Linked DNA regions of Mytilus edulis. The protein of the gene in region 1 purifies or fractionates together with the protein of each later gene. This does not show direct contact. Links are inferred from orthologs where the notes say so. Each region holds a gene or a part of one and is shown in the gene's direction. Other genes may lie near its edges.

Region 1 (7,146 bases):
ATGAGCAAGAGTAACTGTCTTGTGCGTCAATGTACCAAACTAACTTTATGTCTAAGGCTGTGTTCCCATTGACCTTAACTCAATGGAAATATGAGCAAGAGTAACTGTCTTGTGCGTCAATGTACCAAACTAACTTTATGTCTAAGGCTGTGTTCCCATTGACCTTAACTCAATGGAAATATGAGCAAGAGTAACTGTCTTGTACGTCAATGTACCAAACTAACTGTTTGACTAAGACTGTGTTCACATTGACCTTAACTCAATGGAACTATGAGCAAGAGTAACTGTCTTGTACATCAATGTACCAAATTAACTTTATGTCTAAGGCTGTGTTCACATTGACCTTAACTCAATGGAAATATGAGCAAGAGTAACTGTCTTGTACGTCAATGTACCAAACTAACTGTTTGACTAAGACTGTGTTCACATTGACCTTAACTCAATGGAACTATGAGCAAGAGTAACTGTCTTGTACATCAATGTACCAAATTAACTTTATGTCTAAGGCTGTGTTCACATTGACCTTAACTCAATGGAAATATGAGCAAGAGTAACTGTCTTGTACGTCAATGTACCAAACTAACTGTTTGACTAAGACTGTGTTCACATTGACCTTAACTCAATGGAAATATGAGCAAGATTAACTGTCTTGTACGTCAATGTACCAAACTAACTTTATGTCTAAGGCTGTGTTCACATTGAACTTAACTCAATGGAACTATGAGCAAGAGTAACTGTCTTGTACGTCAATGTACCAAACTTACTTTATGTCTAAGGCTGTGTTCACATTGACCTTAACTCAATGGAAATATGAGCAAGATTAACTGTCTTGTACGTCAATGTACCAAACTAACTTTATGTCTAAGACTGTATTCACATTGACCTTAACTCAATGGAAATATGAGCAAGAGTAACTGTCTTGTACGTCAATGTACCAAACTAACTTTATGTCTAAGGCTGTGTTCACATTGACCTTAACTCAATGGAAATATGAGCAAGAGTAACTGTCTTGTACGTCAATGTACCAAACTAACTTTATGTCTAAGGCTGTGTTCACATTGACCTTAACTCAATGGAACTATGAGCAAGAGTAACTGTCTTGTACATCAATGTACCAAACTAACTTTATGTCTAAGACTGTGTTCACATTGACCTTAACTCAATGGAAATATGAGCAAGAGTAAGTGTCTTGTACGTCAATGTACCAAACTAACTTTATGTCTAAGGCTGTTTTCCCATTGACCTTAACTCAATGGAAATAAGAGCAAGAGTAACAGGCATGCATGTACATCAATGTAACAAAACTTACGCCTTGACTAAAGCTGTGTTCACTTTGAGCTCAACTTGATGGAGATATTTTCAAGACTAACGGGCATGTACATCATAGAAACGAAACTAACCTTATGACTATGATGTGTTCACACTCACTAACTCAATGGAAATATAAGAAAGAGTAACAGGCATGTACAAAAACTAACTCTGTGACTAAGGCTGTGTCCAAACTGACCTTAATTAAATGGAAATATGAGCTAGAGTAGCAGGCATGTGTATGTTTACTTGTTTTTTTTTTGTTAATAAGTCTTTTTGTTTGAGTCAAACCCTTTCAATTGATATTTTATAGTGTGTCTTTCTATGTTGTTCTGTTACACTAATATTTCGGGTTAGGGTGAAGTTTGGTGTCTGTTAAAACGTTTAAACCTGCTGCATTCGTTTGCACCAGTTGAACTTCAAGAATCTGTTCAGTGGTTGTCTTTTGTTAATGTGGTTCGTGATTGTTTCTTGTTTCTCATTTTCAATTTTTATATAGAGTAGATCCTTGGTTTTTTCTGTTTGAATTGTTTTAAACTAGTCATTCTAGGGTCCTATATAGCTTGCTGTTCAATGTGAGTCAAGGCTCCGCGTTGAAAGCCTTACTTTGACCTATACTAGTTTTACTTTTTACACATTTTGAAAGACTTGGATGTAGAGTTGTCTCAATGGCACTCGTACCACATCTTCTTATTTCATTTTACATCAATGTAATAAAACTCTTCTCGTTGGCTATTTACAAGCTGTGTTGGCCCATATGGGCGTAAAGTGCTTTTCAATAAAGTTTATAAATTATATATATATCTATATTTATGTCAAATATATTATGTAAAAAAATTGTTTAAAACACCAAAATAGTTAAAAAGGAAAACTTAAATAAAGTTAAATTATATACATCATAGAAGGCTATATTGCTTATGTGTTCGTTTCAATTAATAATAGATATAATTGTTATGCCTTTTTTCTCTAATATGTGTGTGGCTCTGATCTGGCTGTGGTTTAACATCTAAGAATTGAGATTCATATTTATATATGATTTATATCAGCATTATTGTGTCAGTTATAAAAATCATTGTAATAAATTACTTTGCTCTTCGTGGTCCCTTTAATTGGAATAAAAAATATTTTATCTTTATTTAATTATCTCATTAATAACGTGTTGCTTTCTTTCTGTTGCGTCTTATTTATGTAATGATAATCAAGGATATACAAATCCTTCATGTAATTTAAAAGCGCTGTAGACACAGACACTATGGCTGTAGAGCTTATCTTATGCCTGTGTTTTGTTGACCATGCCTACTCTACAACATATTTATTTGTATTTTTTTATTAAGTATATAATATCTTTATTGCTAACGTATGTCACAAGTTCATGATTTACTGAAAAAAAAAGTGAAGATGTGATATTTTTTTATTATTCTTATTAATTATTTGCTTGCCACAATATTTACAACTGAACATCAAAGATTTGTATAGACTTTAGTACATCTAAATTCGTGTACACATATATCAAGTGTTCGAGTAGGTACGTTGTCAAGTTCTTTTTGGTTTATAGACCTATTTTCAGATTCGGCTATTTTCGTCACTCTCCGTCTATCATCGATAAATAAATATGGCGATGGAACGGATAAAGTTCTCCTACGTAAACACTACAAATCGCCCCCATTTCAGGTAGGACAACGGCCTTGCTATGCCACAGTATCAATATTAAAGCATATAGTTTCACGTTTCTTTGCTAGATCCAGTTTCTCTGTCGGATTTGCATGGCAATCAAACAGCTGATTAATGTTACGCGGCCACGACCCTTTTTTGTTCGATTTTAGATATTTTTCTTGACATTGATCGCGTGGTTATCAACTTAATCTAGGGAAAACTAAGATGATCAGAAATCAAATTATGATTTGTTTTAAGCAATGTTTTATATTGTATTACACAGACAGTCGAGTATACTAACTACATGAAATACAATAAGTATAAAGGTTGCCTTTTTGAAGGTATTGATTCGTTGTTGAACTTCAAAGAAAACAAGACACCATACCGTGATGGTTCAATAAACTTTACGTTAACCACAGTCTCTACCCATTTATTTAATTCCTTCTAACTTAAAGCATATCTTTCTAATCCTGCTAATCTACATGTAGGGGGAGAAATATACCAATGGGAAAATCAACTTACATCATGTACATTTAAGGACAAAGAAAAGTCATGACTGAAAGAAATATCTGTACATGTTCAGGTCATAATAACAAGTACTGGCTTTTATACAATGAGTTGTAGGTGTCAGTTTGTGTGGGCAGATTAAATGCTCTTAATAAAAAGACTTGCACTTGTCAATGCTTGTTGTGCGCACAACTAGTTCTAGATGGTACTAGTTGATTATAATTTGTGGACACAAAGAGAGTTGGTACATATGTAGTCCAAATAATTATGACGTCTGGCAAGGCTATTTTAATTTTTTTCTGGGACGCCTTCGTTGTAGGAAGGCGTCCCAGAAAAAAATTAAAAATAGCCTTGCCAGACGTCATAATTATTTGGACTAGTACATATGATACATGGTTTTATCTAGCTAATTTTTATGCCCCACCTACGATAGTAGAGGGGCATTATGTTTTCTGATCTGTGGCCCCTTTCGTTCATCCGTTCGTTCGTTCTTCCCGCTTCAGGTTAACTTGAAACTTAGTACACATGTTCCCTATAGTATAATCTTTCTAATTTTAATACCAAATTATATATTTACCCAATTTCAAAGTCCTTGGAACATGGAAAATGATAGTGCGAGTGGGGCATCTGTGTACTTGGGACACATTCTTGTTAGTTTTAGTCTGGATCAATAGCAGGAACCTGCCCCTCAACCACTGTGTACCCAAATATAAGCTTTTTGTATGTGCATCTAAATGTATGCTGTAGTTTTTGTAATTTGTAAGTTTGACAAGGATTTTGTTATGCATCCATCTTTTCTTGTCTTAAGTTATTAAATATTTTGAACCTTTCTAGCTTGTTTGTGGCTGTTCATGCTATGCTGTTGCTGCATCTTCCATTGTTGAGTGTACTTGTGAAATGTTAGCAGTTTTCTTACCAAACAAATGAAAGTTTTTAACGACCTTGACTGGCTATACAGCCCTTGTACCAGTTCTTACCATTCATGCGGACAGTACATGTAAATGTACCTTAGGTTCCTTCTCAGAAAACTTAGGGTTGAATTTGCCTTATTTGCAACAGTTATTATGACTTTTTGTGTGTGCTTTACTTCAGATCTTCTGATATTTGTTTTCCTAGGTGTGAGTTGTTGGAGAATGTGTCCATTTAGCATATTAAATCTCTAGCTTTTGTTTTTAAAGCATATATAACAATGTAACATTTTTTTCCATTAAATAATTGAAATCGCATTCCCCAGTTGTTTATCAATCTTCTTGTAGTTCTAAGTTTGTGGTCTTTTTTCTATTTTGATGGTTCTATACAGTATTCAGTTGCTAGCAAACAGCCTTACAGAAGGTGTTACAGTGTTCAGGAGGTCAGTTATGTGAATAAAGAAGAGATAGGGTACAAGTAAATGAGGAGACTTTTAACAGGTCATGAAACAATAACAGAATTCACACAAGATAACATTTTTGATGACATTTTTTGGTGTTTTTTTTCTCCTCATAGGATAAGTAACATTTAGTATGTCTTCATAATTCTGGTATACACTGGATGACTGTCGATGAACATTGATCTTTTTGATAAATTAATACATGATTCCTATACTTTGTTTCTATTGTGAAGTACATGTGAAGTATAAATCCTAATCCTTTGAAATTGATAAAAACATTGACATGACTGGCCTTAAAGTGATGTACAAATGTATCTTGTATCATGGGTTTTAGTGCTATTGAGAATGCACCATGACATCACAATTTCCCTCAAAAAAGGTACAAATATGATCTGGTGCTTTAATTATATACAATATGTGCTTGTTTTTCCGACATCATATTTATTATTACAAATTATGTATTGCATGCTGACGACCTAACTTTACATTCATGATATTGATAATGTTTTACAGAAAATAAAGATGATTGGCTGTGATAATGGCAAGCAAGAAAATAGATATCAACAAGGCTAGTGTAGAAGACTTTGAAAAAGTAAATGGTATTGGTTTAAGAAAAGCAAAAGCTATCATCAAATACAGGAAGGTCAGTTTTTCTCATGGTCATTATTTTAAATTTCTTGAAAAGTGGACATTAAAAGTATTTACATATTGTCAAGCCTGGGCACTATAGCTTCTTATTATACAGTTTTTGTTTTACTCATTGTTGAGGGCCTAACAGTGTCTTACAGTTGTGTACACTTTACAAATTTGTTTCATTTGTAATTTTACTACAAATTCAAATAGGTATGCACTTTAATTGGCTTTTAGTTATATAAAACTGTCTATATAAAAAGATGTGGTACATGTATGATTGCCAATGAAAAAAACTCCACCTGTGACAGTCAAACCAAATGACGTCAAAGGAAGCAACAAATGGTCATTGTATGACCTTCAATAATGATCAAATCTCAAAACACATTGCAAACTACAACAGACCCCATTGTTTATATACATGTATGCAGATCGGCACATCAAACTTTAGGCTCTTTGCTTTCTAGCTTATAGATTCAAAACAAATGAAACTTAACATACATACATACATACTTGTAGATTGAGAGAAAGGGGGCAAGCAACAAGTGCAAATCATAGGTTTTAAAACAGATCAAAGAATTTTAAGATTGGAATGAGTCTAAGAACAACAGCTTTGGAATTTGAGTAACCTGAATTTTGATACCTTTTTTCTGAAATTTTTTCAGCTGAAATAATTTACAATTCTATTAATTGTATACTTCAAAGTAACCTATTTGGCACAGTACATTTTTAAAGATTTGCCATATAATTTATTGCAGTCATTTGGAGGTTTCTCAACCGTAAAGGATTTGAGTAGTGTCCCAGGAGTTGGGGATTGTATTGTGGAACAAAGTCGTACTCAGTTGACATGTAGTAACCGCAAACGCAAAGCTGTCAGGTAATTTATATACTTAAATACAGTATACTACATTGTACAAAATACTAAATCTATAATTGGATAAGCTTTTGAAACTGGAGGAAAAGCATGGGTTGTATTTTTAACTGTCTCATAACAAGTACAAATTTTACATTTGATATTTTCTGACAATGCATGTATATTATTTTTTTTATGAAAAAGAGGGAGATTTTGCACTTACAACATACAACATTTCGAAGTTAGATATATAACCGGTTAACATATTCATCTACAAAGCACCAATAACATTTAAAAAGTATACTTTATCTCTTCAATTCATGATTTTGTGCAAGTGCTTCCCAATCAAAATGGTAGGTTTGGCAGGTATGAGTGAAATATTTGTCAGGTTACATAACATTGTATGTAATTGAAAATAATTCAATAAAAGTTTCTTACTTTTATTTTGAACATTTAAAAAAAATGAAACTTTCAGTTGTTGGGCTTTTTTTTCAAATTTTTAGTTCAAAAGGAATGTGGCATGTATTATAAATAAACTTGCATGCCATGTAAAAAATGCATGTTTAAAAAAAAAATGGTACTTTTATGTTTTGTTCATTAAATATGATGTATGATTATTCAACTTATTTTTTCAGGACACCTAAAGTAAAAGATAATGTTTGTAAGGAACAGCCATCATCTAGTGGGTTATCAGCCAGATCTATCAGACACAATCAACGAGCACTGTTCAAATCAACAGAGGAACATGTTGATGATGGTAACAGTATTGTATCCCACGAAGGTCACATGTCAGAGGAAGAGTCTGGCGATGAGGTTATGTTCCGTG
Region 2 (7,146 bases), on another chromosome or scaffold:
ATTTACATAAAAAGGCAGAGTTTGTCTTAATGTTGTTCTCCATCTGCACTCTAAAAAACAACAGGATTAAAAGTTACAAGTTATATTTTATCTAATTTTTTAGTTACAATAGATAAATAAGGTTACTTACTTAGAAAACAACCCACCAGACCACTCATCTACTTCTGTCACATATCTTAATGGAAACTGTAATAGAAACGGATTAGAAAACTATAATGAAAAGGTCCTTACAAATTGAAACATGTCAAGTAATACTTGTCAAATGCAAATGTTAATATCAGTAATTTTGATTTAAAGGTTCAGTGAAAATGCATGTCTGCATCACAGAATTCATTTCTCTGTCTTCTTTTAAGGTTCCTTCTACCCATTAAAGGTAAACTCTTTTTGTATTTGTGTTATTTAAACGTGAATAAATAAAGAAGTAGGGAATGTGTCAATGCAAGTCTAATAGCAAAATGCAATAAACCAAAAAGGACATCAAATGTCCAGTAATAAACAAATGTCCAGTAATAAACAAATGTTCATACTCACATATACAGTTAGTCTTTATGTCATTTGGTCTCTGGTGTAGAACTGTCTAATTGACAATTATATCACATCTTTTTATCTGTATAGCTCTATATTGCCTGTTGACTTCACAAGTTGTTATGTTAAAGTACCTTTCAGTATTAAATGTAAATAGATAGCTCCAACAGTTCCATAATATAGATCAGACAATTGTTTGTACAATTATAATATAAAATAGAACTGTTGGTGACCTTCTGCTGTTGTTTTTTATTTGGTCGGGTTGTTGTCTCTTTGACACATTCCCCATTTCCATTCACAATTTTATTAGTCTGTAACTTAAATAATACCTTCAGAATAGGGTTCTGACTTTCCTTTGGAACAAACACAACTGACTTGGAACATATTTTCAAATGTCCTCTCTGTTTCCTGTAAGAAAAAAGAACAAATAGTGTGCTGTGTTATCACAATAAAAAACAAATTGCAAAATCTATCTAATATTTTGATTAAAATTGACATAAACAAGCAATTTTACTGAATAAAAGATTTTAAAAAAATATGCAGATGAATACAGAATTTTCAGCCAAAATTATTATTTTGTTTGATTTTTATCATAAAGAATCTTTAAAAATCCTTTCAAAATAATACTTTATCAGAGAAATAATGTTTTTGTCCAAGCAAAAAAAAAAAGTACCAATGTGCAACTTACATGTTTTCATGATGTCTTCATTATCTATCATAGAAGTCTCATTCATTTAAATGAGAAAGGTCAGACAAATATTTTTGTAAAATCATTTGAATAATATAATTGGAAACATAAAAACATTGTGTACCTTTTGACAGCTTCTGGTTCTGGAAGACCACAAGGATAATAGAAAACACTGTAGTCTTCAAAATAGATTTCTCCTGGATCTAGTAATAACAGATTAAACCTGGAAAAGAATGGATAACCTTCTAATATACAAGTCATAAAAAAATAGTTAAATAATTAATAACACATGATGACATTTAGCATGTTTAGTTTTAAAATAAAGTTTAATAAGGAGATCAGAAGCACAAACATAGTAAAGTATGCCAATCTCCATCATAGTAAAGTATGCCAATCTTTCTCTCCATCATAGTTGTTCATTGGTTGGAGTTGTTGTAACATAGTTGTTCATTGGTTGGAGTTGTTGTAACATAGTTGTTCATTGGTTGGAGTTGTTGTAACATAGTTGTTCATTGGTTGGAGTTGTTGTAACATAGTTGTTCATTGGTTGGAGTTGTTGTAAGATATTTGTGCTTTTGTGGATACACATTTTTGTTGATTGAGGGAAATTGCATTTTGGGTGGATGTTTGATTTCTTGGTTTTGACAAAGTCTGCATTATTCTCATTTTTATACTTTATGCTATGTTTGATTTTATTCAATTCAGTCGTTCACTAAAAGAAGACATTTGTATGTATTTCCAATAGGAACCTATGTTAAACTAAGTCCCCTGCTGGCAGCCATCCTGGATGATAGATTGGCTACAAAGTAACAACACTTGGTCAGCACCTCATAAGGAACATTCATGCTATGTTTGGTTTCATTCCATTCAGTGGTTCTCTAGAAGAAGTCATTTGTATGCATTTCCCGTAGGGTCCTATGTTAAACTTAGTCCCCTGCTGGCGGCCATCTTGGATGATGGATCGGCTACAAAGTAACAATTAACACTTGGTCAGCACCTCATAAGAAACATTCATGCCATGTTTGGTTTCATTCCAATCAGTGGTTCTCTAGAAGAAGTTCAAAATGTAAAAAGTTAAAGAAGACAACGGACAACGAAGATGGATGACGACAACGGACGCCAAGTGATGAGAAAAGCTCACTTGGCCCTCCGGGCCAGGTGAGGTAAAAATGCAGAAAATTCAAACTCTTCATTCAGTGAAAAACCTTGATAATGTATGTTTCAGTGCACTGTTACCAGTATTACTATTAGCAGGAACATATATACTGATGGGACTTGTCACTTAGATATATGATTCCGGCTAATGCCCTTTACCATCAGGCGTCAAATGGCCATTTTTGGTTACCATTAGCGTCAAATTGGTTAAAATTTTGCCATGATTCGTCAAATTATGCTTATCATGATTCGTCAGAGGTCTCAAATAGTTATCATTATTGACCATGTTGACATTTTTAGAAAAAAATTGAAAGTGTTTCGTCTAAATCAGTCGATTCTTTTGTACATTTTTATTGTCATGCCCCAAAAATTACCGTTAATGTCATTTGGCAAGAATTAATTATTATTTCAGTTTTTTCGTCATGAAAATACCCCCATCACCTCCCTCAGCTATAAGCCACAAAAATCTTCATAGAAATAACACAAGTCATAAGACATAAGATATCACATAACCCAACAAAGAAAAACTAAGTCATTTGTAAGTGAATGACAGTGTATAAATTCTTATGAAACTACATGATATATACATATAAAAAAATCATAAACCTTTCTTTTGAAGCAGTGTCATTTTCTAAAAAAGACATTATTCAAAGAATTCATAAATGTGAAATTCAGTCTGTGTTCATATCCATTTGGTCTGTTTCCGGGTTGATTAGAGTTTTATTCTACTTCCGGTTTGAAGGTTAAATTTGGGGACAAGTCATTTTATCAATAAAACAAATATTTTTTAAATGATCTAACATTTGAATTCTTGTTAATTTTCTTGTACCATTCAATTTTATCAGATTTTAAACAAAAGTTTAACTTTTTTTATATTTTGGTTCGATATATCCACCTAACAGTAATTATATCGTTCTTGAGAAATAGCCTGTCCCTTAAAAGTGCCAACATGGCTGAGAAGAAAAACAAATATTCTGTTCTCCTTCCAACTTACAACGAAAAGGACAATCTACCTCTAATAGTGTGGCTTATTGTGAAATATTTTACAGAGAGGTAACAAATAATGATGTCAAGAAATGAATAAATCCATTTTACATAAATTTTTGTAGTAAAAAAATACATTTTTATGAATATTTTTTACTATACCTGTATGTTTCCTTGTAGATGTCAAGCATTTATGCATTATGAAGAAACTTTTTAGTAGGCAAAAAAAAAAGACTAGAAAATTGTTGCCTAAAAAGGGATTTATTAAAATTTATTGAAAGATTTAAAAAAATACTTTCTCATAAGTTTTTTATGATCTACATTTACTTGCAAGAAGTGATTGATTGCAATAGATTTTCATTAAACCTTTAAATTTTTTATTCACTTATACACAATTGTTTGTATTTTATTACCATGTATTGTAAATTGTTTATCCATTCGGTCATTACCATTTATTGTAAATGTGTTTGCGTCAATAAAATATTGTCTATTGTCTACAGAGGGGGGTTAGGAGGGGTCCTGATCCCGAAATCCCGGGCTTAAAAACACGATATCCAGAAATCCCGAGCTAAAAAACACGAAATCCCGAGGTCCCGAAATTCGAAAAATAGAATTCCCGGATCCAGAAAGGGTCAATCCTGAAATCCCAAGCTTAAAAACACCCGATCCCGGAGTCCCGATAAAGGTCCTATCCCCCCTCTCTACAACCATGACATTATTGCATCAGAAAACACAATCTTCAAGTCATTGGGGCAGATCAATGTTAAAAGTGAAATTGGAAAGAGCATATAGGATTTAGAATAGTTCTATATATACCTTGAAAGCACACTAAATTCTCATTTGAATAATGAAATATTTGCCACTGGATGTTAACTACATCATATACATGTAGCAACCAACAATCAATAATTTGAATATTCACTTTAGCCTTCAACAATATTAAAAACTGGTACTTAAAGATGTAGTAAAATGTACTGCACTTGTCAGTTTCTGAACCACATACAAGTATATCCAATATACATGATATATAATTGTTTTCTACAAACATCTATAAGGGTTTACTTTACAAATTGTGACTTGAATGGAGAGATGTCTCATTGGCTCTCATACCAAATCTTCTTATATCTGTATTTATATAAAAAGATTGAATTTCTGGACTATAGATAAGAAGAAACAAATGTAGCTGCTTTACAAACATGACAAATCTTTTGAAAATAAATATCATCAGTTGAATAATTTGTACATATACCTGTTCAAATGGTAATAATGCTTTTGACTAATACAAGTATAACTTGAAGCACCAAAACTAATTTACAGTACAAACAGCAAATACCAACTCTCACAAAAGTTAACTGACATACAATGTAAAAGACAAACAACATTAAATTAGAGATACCAGAAGCCAAATTTAGTACATGCACAGATCATGCAGAATGATATGTGGTTAACCCATTCTTAACTGCACTGCCACACTTCTCTATCTTTTATATCTATAATGTTTATATATGCTACTATCCAACTTCTCAAAGTACAAATGTAGCACATCAAATTTTTTTTTGATTGCAGTAAATATGATTTTGAAATCATTGTAATTGATGATGGCAGTCCTGATGGAACATTAGAAGTGGCAAAACAACTAGAGAAAATATATGGCAAAGACAAAATTGTAAGTTTTACTTAGAGGTGGCAAAACAACTAGAGAAATATATGGCAAAGACAAAATTGTAAGTTTTACTTAGAGGTGGCAAAACAACTAGAGAAAATATATGGCAAAGACAGAATTGTAAGTTTGACTTAGAGGTGTCAAAACAACTAGAGAAAATAAATGGGAAAGACATAATTGTAAGTTATCCTTAGAGATGGCCAAACAACTAGAGAAAATATATGGCAAAGACAAAATTGTAAGTTATCGTTAGAGTTGGCAAAGACAAAATTGTAAGTTATCCTTAGAGGTGGCAAAACAACTAGAGAAAATATATGGCAAAGACAAAATTGTAAGTTATCCTTAGAGGTGGCAAAACAACTAGAGAAAATATATGGCAAAGACAAAATTGTAAGTTATCCTTAGAGGTGGCAAAACAACTAGAGAAAATATATGGCAAAGACAAAATTGTAAGTTATCCTTAGAGGTGGCAAAACAACTAGAGAAAATATATGGCAAAGACAAAATTGTAAGTTATCATTAGAGGTGGCAAAACAACTAGAGAAAATATATGGCAAAGACAAAATTGTAAGTTTTACTTAGAGGTGGCAAAACAACTAGAGAAAATATATGGCAAAGACAAAATTGTAAGTTTTACTTAGAGGTGGCAAAACAACTAGAGAAAATATATGGCAAAGACAAAATTGTAAGTTTTACTTAGAGGTGGCAAAACAACTAGAGAAAATATATGGCAAAGACAAAATTGTAAGTTTTACTTAGAGGTGGCAAAACAACTAGAGAAAATATATGGCAAAGACAAAATTGTAAGTTTTACTTAGAGTTGGCAAAACAACTAGAGAAAATATATGGAAAAGACATAATTGTAAGTTATCCTTAGAGATGGCCAAACAACTAGAGAAAATATATGGCAAAGACAAAATTGTAAGTTATCCTTAGAGTTGGCAAAGACAAAATTGTAAGTTATCCTTAGAGGTGGCAAAACAACTAGAGAAAATATATGGCAAAGACAAAATTGTAAGTTATCCTTAGAGGTGGCAAAACAACTAGAGAAAATATATGGAAAAGACAAAATTGTAAGTTTTACTTAGAGGTGGCAAAACAACTAGAGAAAATATATGGCAAAGACAAAATTGTAAGTTTTACTTAGAGGTGGCAAAACAACTAGAGAAAATATATGGCAAAGACAAAATTGTAAGTTTTACTTAGAGGTGGCAAAACAACTAGAGAAAATATATGGCAAAGACAAAATTGTAAGTTTTACTTAGAGGTGGCAAAACAACTAGAGAAAATATATGGCAAAGACAAAATTGTAAGTTTTACTTAGAGTTGGCAAAACAACTAGAGAAAATATATGGAAAAGACATAATTGTAAGTTATCCTTAGAGATGACCAAACAACTAGAGAAAATATATGGCAAAGACAAAATTGTAAGTTATCATTAGAGGTGGCAAAACAACTAGAGAAAATATATGTCAAAGACAAAATTGTAAGTTTTACTTAGAGGTGGCAAAACAACTAGAGAAAATATATGTCAAAGACAAAATTGTAAGTTTTACTTAGAGGTGGCAAAACAACTAGAGAAAATATATGGCAAAGACAAAATTGTAAGTTTTACTTAGAGGTGGCAAAACAACTAGAGAAAATATATGGCAAAGACAAAATTGTAAGTTTTACTTAGAGGTGGCAAAACAACTAGAGAAAATATATGGCAAAGACAAAATTGTAAGTTTTACTTAGAGTTGGCAAAACAACTAGAGAAAATATATGGAAAAGACATAATTGTAAGTTATCCTTAGAGATGGCCAAACAACTAGAGAAAATATATGGCAAAGACAAAATTGTAAGTTTTCCTTAGAGTTGGCAAAGACAAAATTGTAAGTTATCCTTAGAGGTGGCAAAACAACTAGAGAAAATATATGGCAAAGACAAAATTGTAAGTTATCCTTAGAGGTGGCAAAACAACTAGAGAAAATATATGGCAAAGACAAAATTGTAAGTTTTACTTAGAGGTGGCAAAACAACTAGAGAAAATATATGGCAAAGACAAAATTGTAAGTTTTACTTAGAGGTGGCAAAACAACTAGAGAAAATATATGGCAAAGACAAAATTGTAAGTTTTACTTAGAGTTGG

Evidence for each region.
Region 2: the proteins of F-box/WD repeat-containing protein 7-like (region 1) and dolichol-phosphate mannosyltransferase subunit 1-like purify together in Homo sapiens (affinity purification with mass spectrometry, with the first as the bait; 3 studies listed by BioGRID). This does not show direct contact. The link is inferred for Mytilus edulis from reciprocal best matches to the Homo sapiens genes FBXW7 and DPM1.

Annotation. Positions count from the first base shown.
Region 1 is NC_092351.1:67,283,002-67,290,147, forward strand, and holds the start of F-box/WD repeat-containing protein 7-like, read left to right. Parts: upstream 1-2,889; 5' UTR 2,890-2,979; intron 2,980-5,350; 5' UTR 5,351-5,375; coding exon 5,376-5,480; intron 5,481-6,225; coding exon 6,226-6,344; intron 6,345-6,955; coding exon 6,956-7,146. UniProt on the Homo sapiens protein: Substrate recognition component of a SCF (SKP1-CUL1-F-box protein) E3 ubiquitin-protein ligase complex which mediates the ubiquitination and subsequent proteasomal degradation of target proteins.
Region 2 is NC_092348.1:4,568,346-4,575,491, reverse strand, and holds the start of dolichol-phosphate mannosyltransferase subunit 1-like, read left to right. Parts: upstream 1-3,265; 5' UTR 3,266-3,317; coding exon 3,318-3,421; intron 3,422-4,918; coding exon 4,919-5,018; intron 5,019-7,146. Other genes in the region: protein FAN-like, read right to left, coding at 131-186, 855-933, 1,338-1,436, 2,975-3,012. UniProt on the Homo sapiens protein: Transfers mannose from GDP-mannose to dolichol monophosphate to form dolichol phosphate mannose (Dol-P-Man) which is the mannosyl donor in pathways leading to N-glycosylation, glycosyl phosphatidylinositol membrane anchoring, and O-mannosylation of proteins; catalytic subunit of the dolichol-phosphate mannose (DPM) synthase complex.